Linked DNA regions of Macaca mulatta. The protein of the gene in region 2 purifies or fractionates together with the protein of the main gene of each other region. This does not show direct contact. Links are inferred from orthologs where the notes say so. Each region holds a gene or a part of one and is shown on either strand. Other genes may lie near its edges.

Region 1 (3,996 bases), on a different chromosome or scaffold from region 2:
GGTGGCGGTGGGTAGGAGGTCGGGCTGAGGCCGGCCACTGTGCTAGGCGTGTGGCCGGACGGCTCCGATGGGACCGACATCAACTCCCTGTGCCGCTCCCACAACGAGCGCGTGGTGGCGGTGGCCGACGACTTCTGCAAAGTGCATCTATTCCAGTACCCGTGCGCTCGTGCCAAGGTGAGGCCGCGGGGGCCGCCGGGGTGGGACGGGTGGGCCCGAGGGCTCCGCCGCCACTGCAAGTCTTCCCTCCCGCCCAGGCGCCGAGCCGCATGTACGGGGGCCACGGCAGCCACGTGACCAGCGTCCGGTTCACGCACGACGACTCGCACCTTGTCTCGCTGGGCGGCAAGGACGCCAGCATCTTCCAGTGGCGAGTGCTGGGCGCTGGGGGCGCGGGGCCGGCGCCTGCCACGCCCTCTCGAACCCCCTCCCTGTCCCCCGCCTCCTCCCTCGACGTTTGATCGCTGCCGGCGGGACCTACTGGCCTGGCGGCGTGGCCCCGCCCCGCTCTGCCCCGCCCTAATCCCCCACGACCAGGGGCCGACTCTTTCCTCGACTGACTTCGAAACATTCCCGACGGTGCATTTCCCTGGAGGGCGCGAGCGGCGCCCCTGCACACACTGTTTAGACCCGCTGGTTGAGCCGGGCAGCCCCAACCTAGGCCTTGACTCCCGCTGCCTGCTGAGGGGCAATAAACCAGAACCAAAGTCGCCTCCCGGTGCTTTTGTGGGGCGCTGCTGGGTGCCTCCGGGGCCCTGTGGGGTGGGGACGAAGGAAAAGAGGCGTGCGGAAAGGGCAAGGGAGCGTAGACCATTTATGCAAATAACAGGCAAAGCCGCTTGCAAATAACCTGGCGAAGCGCTAAGGCGCGCGAGTCTTCGGGGCGGGAGGAGGAGTTGCAGGGCTCCAGCTAGGACAGAGTTAAGCCCCACTCCTCTCCCGCCCTCGGAAAAAGGGGTGGGGGGGGTGCCGAGCTGCAACGGAAATAGCCGAGCGATTGGCCGACAGGAGCCGAACTTCTTCCGGAAGTAGCCGATCTGCGGGGTCTCGCTCTCCGACCTGAGCCGAGCAGTGGGCCTTGTTCTCCGGATCGGCCGAAGGTGTTACGGAAGGAGGCGAACCCTGAGGCGGGCCGGGCAAGCCTTCCCTGCGGCCGGCAGAGCTCAACGACTAGTGGGACTCGGCGGGGGTGGGGGCAGCTGCAGCCTGGCAGGAGCCGAGCTCGTTCCGGAAGAAGCCGAGCGGACCGGGGCCAGCCTCAGCGTCCCGGGAGTGAGGCGATAGCTGCGGCGGCGACAGCGCGGGCCGGGATGAACCGCGACGGCTGAGGCAGCGGAGGTGACGGCTGCGCGGGCCCCAGTGAGACTCCCTCGAAGCGCCAGCCCACCGTTCAGGGCTTTGCCTCTAGCCGAGCCCTGCCCCCGCGAGCCTCCCGGACCCCTTTGTGCGGCCGGAGGCGGCGGCGGGAACGGCCATGGCGGCCAACATGTACCGGGTGGGAGGTGAGTACCGGGCGCAGGGGTACAGGGTCCGGGGCGGGAGAGGTTGTGGTCGGGACCGGAGGGGCTCGGCACCGGGTGGCGCGAGGCGCAGCGTATGGGGCGGCATGGACCGGAGCGCGGACCGGAACCGGAACCGGGAGACGAGGAGCTAGGGTGCGGGAAACCGCGACGCGGCAGGGCGCCGAGACTCCTGGAGAGAAGCTGCGGGCAGCCCCGACGGCACTTTCAGGGCTGCGTCGGGGGCTCCTCGGGGCACGGAGTGGGCTTCGGAAACCGGTTCCGAAGGAGCTGACAGGGTGGGGAGGGAACGCGAGGGGCTGGGGCGACGGCTTTGCCACCGCGGAGGAGCCGCCCGGAGGTTTCCTCTTCCCAGGCGTTATTGTGCGCCTCAGTTCGAAAAGGTGGGGGCCCTGCGCTAGAGCGAACAATTACTTCGCCGCGACTGAGGTGCAACTCGTTGCTGAGTTGTGGGGACTGCAGGGGAATCCCTGCTTCTTGCCTGTTCCTTAAGGCTCACTTTTGAGTAATGGATCTGATTTTAGAACTAGGTGCGGTGGGGGTGGGGGACATCCTTATTTTCTCTTAGTCTTTACACTTTCACATCTCAGCGCGCTCTCTGCCTGAATCCTTATCTTCTTTTGATCCACTCAGGCCAACTTTCTCTCCTACTCTGGTGCTCTGCGTCTCTCCCATCTCCTCTGATCTTCGTGGTTCTCCCCCCTCCCTTCCCTTACAGATTACGTCTATTTTGAGAACTCCTCCAGCAATCCTTACCTGGTTAGACGGATTGAGGAACTCAACAAGGTGAGTGGAGCAGAATCTCTCTCCCTCCCTCCCCCAGTGGTCTCTTCTGAGGTTTCTAACTTCGGGTGGAAGAGAGGACCCTATACTAAGTACCCATTCATATTCATTCATTCATTCATTGGATGTATTCAGGAAAGGCTATTGAGAGCTTAGCAGGAACTTTACTATTCTGTCTCTTGGGGGCAAAGGAAAGGGATTTGGAAGTCTGTCCTTGAATGTAAGTGTTTACTCATATTTTCTTGGGCTTTTTAATTTAGGTCCCTCTGAAACTTACTGTTATTTGTCTCTTTGTGTATTTCTGTTCCCAGATGATCAATTTTCACTGCTACGTTGTTTTGTTTCTGTTTTTGTTTTTTTCCTCCCCTTAGACTGCAAATGGAAATGTGGAGGCAAAGGTCGTCTGTCTTTTCCGGCGCAGGGACATTTCTAGTAGCCTCAACAGCTTGGCTGATAGTAATGCCAGTGAGTATCTTCATCCCTTTCTTTTCCCCCTCCCCATGATCTGAGGCCTGCGCATGTCCCTGCAGGTATTTCCCCTGGTAGCATGCCCAAGGCAGAGGTGTGAGTTTGAGGGTGGGAAATGCCTGGCCTGAGGAGGGAGACCTGTTTTTACACGTTGGGGTTGGAAGCAGGGTGGAGAGATTGTGATATGGTTTGTGTATGAGAGTAGGAGAGAGACGATAAGGTTGATTTAGGGGATGAAGACGGGGTTTAGAGAAACAGAATGCTTTTCTAAAGGGGGGCAGTTTGGGGTACACTGGGACAGTAGGTGGTGACTGAAGGTCAAGGTGAAGAGGAAGAGATTGTACTGAGAAGCCCGCATAACAGAAGCAGCCTTATTTTGTAATCACAAGGTGGTGAGAATACCTGGAAGTTAGAAGATGGCTGGAAGTTTTCTTGCACTTTTTAATTTCTCACCTTGCCCATTTCCCCACCTGCCACCCCCCATTTTACATCTTTCCCTTTTCATTTTGCTCTATTTTCATCCTCTTTAAGGTCTCATTTTCTTTTTTTAAAAAAAAATATTTTCCTTAGCTGCTTTTTCCTTTCCTGCTTTGGTTTTCTTTTTCCTTCCTTTTGTTCCACCTTTCTAAATCATTTTCCTTTTTCAGACTGCTCTGGGTGAGAAGGGGTTAAAGAGGAGCCTGGCTAACCAAGTTCCCTGGCCCTTTAGGGTTTCCAGCCCCATCTGGCAGGGGCTGACCTTGGCCTTGTCCAATCAGAAGGGGTGTTGGGGGTGTGGTCCCCCTTGCCTTAGCACAGGGTTTCCGGAGCACACAAGCGAGGGGTGGAGCCTACTGAACAACCCCCCCTTCTCCCTGAGGTTGGGAACAATGCACCAATGAGCCTGGGCCTGAGGCTTTTCTGCCCCCTCCCACTTTGGTTGGCGCCTAGCCAGATTAACCCCTTCCACTAGGTTTCAGGGCAAGCTGCAGCTCTTTCAGGAGGAAGATGTTGGCACTAGCTTGAGAGGTGTTGTCCTTGAAAACCCTAGGAACTATTATTAGCCAAGTAGAGAATGAGGGATAGTTAGGGCTGCATGTGATGTTTTAGTGCAAAGAGTCTCCTGAAATTGAAAAGAACTGGTAAACACAGTCTTGTGTGATTTTTTTTTTCATCTTACTGGGTTGCTGGACCTCAGGCTGGTTTAGCAAGAGACAAATGTAATGTTCTTGCTGGCCTGTTGTGG
Region 2 (3,820 bases):
AAAAAAAAAAAAGCACTTGGCAAATTAAGAGAAAAAAAGAAGGGGCCTGTGCTGAGACAGTGACCATGAGTTTGCCCACAACAGGCAATCCTGCCCACCAGGCCACTTAATAGGGACTGTGCCCCAGAGGGCAGGAGAAGAGGGAGAGGGGGTCCCCTCGGTCCCCCTCCTCATCCATCTTGATTCCTGGAAAAATTAAAGTGTGGGCTTTCACCTTGCCAGTGTCATGTTTAAGACTCTGTCACTTCTGCTCCACATGCAAAGCTCTAAATGCAAACCCAACCCCTGGTCAGTTGTTCACTGAAGGATCAGTCATGTGTTCCAGTGCCTTTATAAGTGACTTGAATTCTCGAAGGTAATTCTGATTATATGTCATTTGCACTTCATAAACTGACTTTAGAATCTAAGCCCACTTGGATTAAGATTCAGTCCATTCCAATGTTTCTCTGTTAGACCCAAATGAAAGAATGTGGTCTTGGAGATTCTGTTTAAAAAATAAAAAGGGTCTTCCTTCCTAAACACTCCCTAAAGCCTACGAGGTTAAGACGCTCATGCTTCCCCTTGCAAGGCCAAGGTTCTGGCAACCTGCCAGATGCCTGCCGTCTCTGCGGCAGCTCTCCCATCCACTCACTTTGCTAGTGTACTTGGCAATATCAGCGGCGACATCGGCTGAGGCGGTGGCGATGGGCAGGTCAGCGTTCACTGAGGACACAAGGGTGCTCGTGGACCCCGAGCTGGTGACCAGGGGCGATGACTGTGTGCTGGTCACCAGGGTGATGGTGGCCGTGGACGGGCTCTGTGTGATCTCCTTCTGCTGGACAGCTAGGAAGGCAAAGCATCCTGATTATCCCACGTGGGAAGGACCCGTCCCAGCATAGAGCTGTGGTGTAGAAGCAAAGCCCCTAATATACGTCCTGAGAACTTTTCTACTTTTAAATGACAAAGATGCTCCCCTTGACCAAACTCTATCCAGGTTTCTCGACTAGGCCCTAACCTTGGCCTGGAAAGACTTGAGCAAACACTGACAGTTTCTAAGAGCTCAAGAGTGCATGCTAGGATGACCCCAACCCCCACTTAAAGCACCTGCCTGGGAAAACTCAATGCTGGCAAAAGAACTGACAGTTTTCTTCCAACCAACACCTGAAGACAGGACTTCAGCATCCCAGTCTCTATGGGAGAGTAGGGGCCCAACTTCATGAAGTGCCCGTTAGCAAATCGAGATGGGTTTCACAAAGACCAACCCCTCATCTTGCTTCTGTGATGTTTAACTTCAACGACTTGCTCCCATCCCTACTCCCTCATTCTCCCTTTAAAATGCCCAGTCACCTCTGTACAAATCAAAGTTAATTTCAGTTTATGTTAGACTCTTGCCCCATTACAGTAGTGTATTACCGATTTAAATCTGTCTTTACCCTTTTAACTAGGCCCTACTTTGGTGTAAGACTATCTGAAGCAATGAGCCTCTTTTTGGCAGCACTCTTTTTTGGTTTTTTTTGTCTGTTTGTTTCTCTGGTTTTTTTTTTTTTTTTTTTTGAGACAGTCTCACTCTGTTGCCCAGACTGGAATGCAATGGCGCAATCTTAGCTCACCGCGACCTCCACCTCCAAGATTCAAGGGATTCTCACACCTCAGCCTCCTGAGTAGCTGGAGTTACAGGCATGTGCCCAGCTAGTTTTATGTTTTCTTTTCCATTTTAGTAGAGATGGGGTTTCACCATGTTGGCCGGGCTGGTCTTGAACTCCTGGCCTCAAGTGATCTGCCTGTCTTGGCCTCCCAAAGTGCTGGGATTAGAGACATGAGCCACCGCGCCCAACCCTCTTCTTGGTAGCAATTAAACTCCCCTGGGGAAGCCTCCTGCTTACGAGATATGAAGACAGAAGACAGGAAGCAGCAATCCCAATCTCAAATATCCTAGACTTGGCTTTGCCCCACCAACTTTTTAAACAGCAAGATTACTCCAACTGTACTCTCAATTTTGCCTGGCCAATTTTTCAGGACCCACTCCCTTGCCATCTTTGAAGTGTTTCACTGGGGGCCAATTCAAGACCTGGCCACCTTTCAACCTCACGTCCTGCTGCTCACGAACCCCACTCACAGGGGCGCACTCACTATGAGCTTCCGTTGAAGAACCCAGCCTTTGAGGATCTAGATGCAGGTTTCCTGATAGAAAGAGATCTACATCAATGCTCACAAAAGCCAGACAAACTGGTATCAACCAGTCAGATCAGCACTGTGTTTGGCCTAATTTCAGCTCCAGATGGAGCCTCCTGTAGGGCTGGTGGGAGTTCTGATTCTGCAACTTCAGCAAGTGGTTCTCGAGGCTGGCTCATCTTTTGTGCGTGACGAATTTCCAGTTACTAAGGTAACCTTCGCTATCAACTTCTCGCACTGTACTTTTTCCAAAATAATTCCAAGAGGTTCCCTCATGTGTACAAGGAAATTTATACAAAGATATTCACTGCAGCACTGCTCACAGTGGAAAAAAAACTGAAAGCAACCTAAATACCCATCAGGAGGGGAATGCTTTAAATAAACTATGGAATACTACGCAGCAGTCCGAAAGAACAAGGCAGGGCTGTATGTGCTGACATGGATGGACCTCCAAAACATGCTAATGGGTGGGGGAAAAAAAAAAAGCAAGTATGGTACCATTTTTACGTTTTAAAAAAGAAAAAAAAGGGGGGGAAAAGGACTAATTTTATGGCATCATATACATGACGCGCACATATATACATACAGATATGTATATATACATATACATGCATACATGCATAGAAAAGCCTTTACAACGGTTGATACTGGTCACTGTGGAAGGGAGAGAATGAAATGGAAGGTAAACGGGACAATAAACTTTTATGTAAAACTTTCTGCCCCCCTTTTAAGGAGAATATATGCATGTATAATTTATAAAATGAACAAAAAAACTTTTCGAAAGTAAAAAAGCAAGTAGCAAAACACTTTTTAAAAATAATGCCAAATGAAATGTGCAAGGCCTTCAAGATACAATGGCCAGGAAACAAACGAGAACTAAAAAAAAAAAAAAAAAAAAAACAAGAGAGCAATGACTTTCTCCTGTCGATGTGGCAAAATGGGAGCGGGCGCCACGGAGAACAGAAGGGGAGGCTCGGTACCTTTCACAGCCTGTCTGGTCTGATATCTCGTCCCCTGGGAAGACTGAGGCTGCTGCTGCTGGTTTTGCTGCTGCTGCTGCTGCTGCTGACGCTGCATCTTCTGCATGTGCCACTTTTGGGAGGACGTTTGAAACTTACTTGATGAGTTCCACACGACCCGCTGCACGGCCGGGGCAGTCTCCTTCGGTAAAAGCGGCCTCTGCTTTTTCACCGGGCTTCCTGTGGTGGCGGGGGCCGGGGCCGTGACGGTGACCGTGGAGGACGTGCTGGTGGTAGCTGTGGCGCCAGCCGCGGGAGTTTGGGCGGAAGAGCGGGTGAGCACCGGCGTTTCCGGGGGAGACTGGCTGCCCGCCGTCGTGGATGGTGGAGCTTTACCTACAACTAGCCAATGCATGAAGAAAAAACAAACAAAAACCGCGATTTCACTCAGGTTCGCCTGCAGGGTCTTGACGCCAGCAAGTTCTGGGTAAAACCTACGAAAGCCAGGAAAGCCGAACCAATTCGACGTGCCACGCACACCGCGCTGGAGGAGTACAGTCTCACCTAACGCTGAGGCCACTTCTGCTGCGTCTTCCATCTCCACGAGCACCGGCCTCCTTTACTGAGCGCCGGCTCACATCTGAGATACAAGTCAACACCTCTGGGGGCCAATGAGGCAAACAAGACCCGGCTCCTATGCTCAAGCTCCC
Region 3 (3,930 bases), on a different chromosome or scaffold from region 2:
TGTGCCACCTCAGCAATGTTCCCACCTCAGCCTCTGGGGATATGCCACTACTTCTGTCACTTCTGTCCTGACGCGAAAGCTCTTTCCTGAATGCCTATTCGCTCCTTTTTTTTTTTTTCTTTTGGAGACGGAGTCTCACTCTGTCGCCCAGGCTGGAGTGCAGTGGCACAAACTCGGCTCACTGCAAGCTCCACCTCCCGGGTTCACTCCATTCTCCTGCCTCAGCCTCCCGAGTAGCCGGTACTACAGGTGCCCGCCACCATGCCTGGCTAATTTTTTCTATTTTTTAGTAGAGACGGGGTTTCACCGTGTTAGCCAGGATGATGTTGATCTCCTGACCTCGTGATCCTCCCGCCTCGGCCTCCCAAAGTGCTGGGATTACAGGCGTGAGCCACCGCACCCGACCGGATTCTTCTTAATTCTTTGTTTTTATTGTTTGACTTACCTGAGGTCTTTGGACTTTGCCTCTGAGCTGGCTTAAGGGCAATCCACCTTTTTCACTGGTCTGGAGTGGGGAGGCAGAGTAGGGGTCGGCTGGAGGAACAGGGCTCTGTGCTGTCTTTTGAGAGTTTACTAAACGTCACTCTGCATGGTAAGGGGTGTGTCCTCTCCGCTGCGGTGTCCTGGCTTGAAGTTCAGATTGTCTCCCTGGGACACCAGACCCTGCGCCGTACTCCCTCCTAAGGACAGCTTTGACTGTCTCCCCTCCAGCAGTCAGTTCTCTCCACCCCCAACAGGAGAAGGAGCAAAGGCTGGTGTCTGCAGGAGTCTCCCCTCCAGGCCAAGGCCAGGGGAGAGTGTGCATGTCACTGTCAGGATGTGTCCTGGTGGCGTGGCCGGGTTTTCAGGGTGAAGCGCCTCCGTTTCTGGGATGGCAGCGGAAGCAGGCACTACACACACAGCTTCGGGGGCTCTCCCCATGCCTCCTAGCTGCCTGGCACTTTCTGTTGTTTCTGGCTAACTTTCTGACCATGCCAGGAGTTGGTGGAAGGAGATCTCAGGCCGCAGCGTTGCTTTCCCGCTGAGGAGACAGAGGTAGGCCGGGGCTGTAGGACAGGGGAGGCAGCAGCCCCACCTTCTTTCTAGGGAGACACTGCCTGTCTGTCATTGCCCCTCTCCTGCACCTGGCCCCTGGCTGTCTGCTCTTCCCACCCAATCACCAGCAAGCCAGCTCCTGTTCCCTGCGGCCCGTAGGATGTGTCCTGGGACCCACAGCCCTCTCTCCCCAGAGACAGCACTGCCTTGCAGCTTCGGTTCCTGGCCCTGTGCTAACCCTGGCAGGGTTTTCCTTTCTAGTCTGCTCTGCAGCCAAGACATTGTGGCCACTGCTCTCCTCGGGACCCCCACCTGGCTTTCTCCCAGCACATGCTGTTTTCTGCCCACCTGGCTGGTGTCCTGTGTGCCGGATTCCCTATGCTCTGTCCCCAGCACCCTGACCACATCTGTCCCACCTGCCTAGATCTTGAACCGTGGGCACAGGGCTCCCTCCTGATAGCCCTGAACACTCCGCTCCATGTCCTACAGGGAGGGATGTCCCAGGTAGATGTCAGCTCCCTCCAGTCACTGACCTCCAGCATCTGAGCAGGCAGGGCCGAGACCCATGGTGCTGCTCAAACCAGCAGCCTGGAGCCCCAAGACAGCTCCTTTTCCTCACCTCCCCCAACACTGATGTTGCACCTGTCTCCAAGCCACTGTGGGACCATCTGTTTTTCTCCATCTGGGAAGCCCCCTTCCCACCTCATGCTCTTCCTGGCTGGGGCGTCTGGGTCACTGGACTCTCCTCTCGTTAGACCTGTGCACGCACGCACACACACACACACACACACACACACACACACACACACACACACAGGAGGGCATCCTGACAGGTGGTGGGGAGGGAGGGCAGCTGCCTCACTGTGGAAAGGGCACGGCCGCTCCCGGACTCCAGCCCTGTTAGGGCTGGGGAGGTCAGCAGGCGCTGGGTTCCAGCCTCAAGTGGGGTCTTCGGAGGTGGCCTTTGGGCACAGGCACCTCCTCTGTGGCCTTCTCACCAGGTCACAGTTCAGGGAGGCTTTGCCGCCTACAGAGCCTGCCCACACCAAGGCGCGCACGGTCACCGGTCCAGAGATGCCATGCGGGCTGGGCGGCGAAGGCCAAGGACACACGCTGCCTGGTGTCGGGGGCAAAGGTTAGGCCTGGAAGGGAGGTGTGGGGTGGGGACCCCGAGGCCAGGGCTGGGCCGCTGAGCTTCAGGGCCCTTGTTGGGGGTCAGGGGGGAATGCCGGAGGACCCCAGCATCAGGAGGAACCCCCTGGAGAGTTATGGCAGGACTCACCTGTGGGGCACAGGAAGAATCACCAGGGAAAGGACCCTTGTGGAGGATCCCCCTCTACCCCCAGGGCACTAGGGGAGGATCTACCAGGGGGGTCTGGTGGAAGGGCCCACCCGGGAAGCGGCGCGCGGGGAGGACTCGGGGGCGCCGGGAGGAACTGTCCGGGAAGGGGCGCGCGGGCCGCGGGCGGCGCGGGGTCGGTAACGGCCCGCGCGGTGGGCGGCGGCGCCCGAGGCCCCTCCCCGCCGCCCGCGGCCGCTCCTCCTCTTCCTCTCCCGCCCGCGCCGCGGCCCTCCCGTCCCTGCGCGGCCTCGGCGGCCTCGGCGGCGGCGGCGGCGGCGGCGGCGGCAGCAGCGCGGCCCCTTTAAACGCCTGCGGCGCCCCCCGCCCCCGCCATCGCGCCTCCATTTTCCCGGCCGCCCGCGCCGAGCGCCGCGCCCGCCCCGGGCCCCTCCGCCGCCGCCGGCCCGGACATGGCCGCCAACATGTACAGGGTCGGAGGTAAGGCCGCACCGCCTTTATGCCCGGCCCCGACCCGCCCGCAGCCCCCACCCACCGCCGCTGCCGCCTCCCCCGCCCCTCCGCCCCGCAGGCCCCGCGCCCCCCGTCCGCCCTCGCGGCCCCCGGCTCCTTCCCGAACCTCCCCCCGCAGTGCTCACCCCAACCCAAAATGGCCCCGCGGGTCGGCCCCATCGGGGGCGGGCGGGGCGCGGCGGCCCGGGGGTGGGGGGCGGCCCACCTGTTGGGGCCGAGGGGGCGGCCGCGGGGGTGGCGGGGGGGCGCGGGCGGCCGGGGACATCCGGGGGGCCGGGGCCGGGAGCCCCCCGCGGGAGCACGTGGCCTTGGGAGGCGCCGGCTGCCGGTCTGGGAGCAGGAGTTTTGGGGCTGTGGGGTCTCCCCCGGCCCGCGGCCCTGTGCTAGGACTCCGGTGCGTCCCCTCTGCGGATGGGGAGCCCCGGTGAGGGGCCGCGTTCCTCCCTAGAGCCCTCCTGCAGCCTGGCCCCGGGGCTTCCCCCCGCAGGGCTCTCTCAGGGGGTCTTCAGCAGGGAGCGAGTATCCCGAGCACGCCTCTAAGTCCCCCCAAACTTTTCCCTGCCTCCCGCTCACCTCAGCCCATTCGGGAGGCGCTTTGCTAGGGTTGGGGAGAGGCCGGAGGGTCCCCTGGGCAGGGGCCCGGGGCTTCCTCTCTGGGTCAAGCCTCCTGTTGCTCGGGCCCCGCGGGCCTGCAGCTTTGGGCCTTGCCCTCCTTCGAGTGCCTGGGACTCCGTGGGGTCTTTCACAGGGAGATGGGGGGTCGTGCGCATTCCATCATTCCATCAGTGCCTCCCTCCCCGGGACTCTTGAGACCCCTCCCTGCCTGTGACCCTCTCGGCAGGTGCCCATTGCCTCTCCCACCTGCAGCCTGCGCTGCAGGAGGGAGCTGGGGTCTCTCTCGCTCTGACCTGATCCCCATGCCCGTGACCCCGAGTGCCCAGAACACGCCGTGTCCCTCGAGCGTGGCCTCTGCTGCCTTGGACGCCGTGTGGTCTCGCCGGCCAGCCCTGTGACCTTGGGGACTGTGGGAGCCCCCTACACCCCGTCTGTGAGATGGGCGGTCAGTCTGCATCAGCAGCTCT

The links. The genes of interacting proteins can lie anywhere in the genome.
Region 1: the proteins of ZMYND8 (region 2) and MTA2 purify together in Homo sapiens (affinity purification with mass spectrometry; 3 studies listed by BioGRID and IntAct, with this or other methods). This does not show direct contact. The link is inferred for Macaca mulatta from reciprocal best matches to the Homo sapiens genes ZMYND8 and MTA2.
Region 3: the proteins of ZMYND8 (region 2) and MTA1 purify together in Homo sapiens (affinity purification with mass spectrometry; 3 studies listed by BioGRID and IntAct, with this or other methods). This does not show direct contact. The link is inferred for Macaca mulatta from reciprocal best matches to the Homo sapiens genes ZMYND8 and MTA1.

The regions. Positions count from the first base shown.
Region 1 is NC_133419.1:11,464,495-11,468,490, forward strand, and holds the start of MTA2 (metastasis-associated protein MTA2), read left to right. Parts: upstream 1-1,196; 5' UTR 1,197-1,474; coding exon 1,475-1,502; intron 1,503-1,620; exon of another isoform or gene 1,621-1,903; intron 1,904-2,238; coding exon 2,239-2,306; intron 2,307-2,674; coding exon 2,675-2,768; intron 2,769-3,996. Other genes in the region: EML3 (echinoderm microtubule-associated protein-like 3), read left to right, coding at 47-177, 258-461. UniProt on the Homo sapiens protein: May function as a transcriptional coregulator. Acts as a component of the histone deacetylase NuRD complex which participates in the remodeling of chromatin.
Region 2 is NC_133415.1:100,040,509-100,044,328, forward strand, and holds part of ZMYND8 (MYND-type zinc finger-containing chromatin reader ZMYND8), read right to left. Parts: intron 3,513-3,820; coding exon 3,132-3,512; intron 823-3,131; coding exon 632-822; intron 1-631. UniProt on the Homo sapiens protein: Chromatin reader that recognizes dual histone modifications such as histone H3.1 dimethylated at 'Lys-36' and histone H4 acetylated at 'Lys-16' (H3.1K36me2-H4K16ac) and histone H3 methylated at 'Lys-4' and histone H4 acetylated at 'Lys-14' (H3K4me1-H3K14ac).
Region 3 is NC_133412.1:178,846,826-178,850,755, forward strand, and holds the start of MTA1 (metastasis-associated protein MTA1), read left to right. Parts: upstream 1-1,130; 5' UTR 1,131-1,668; coding exon 1,669-2,170; intron 2,171-2,317; exon of another isoform or gene 2,318-2,559; intron 2,560-2,584; exon of another isoform or gene 2,585-2,787; coding exon of another isoform or gene 2,788-2,815; intron 2,816-3,930. UniProt on the Homo sapiens protein: Transcriptional coregulator which can act as both a transcriptional corepressor and coactivator. Acts as a component of the histone deacetylase NuRD complex which participates in the remodeling of chromatin.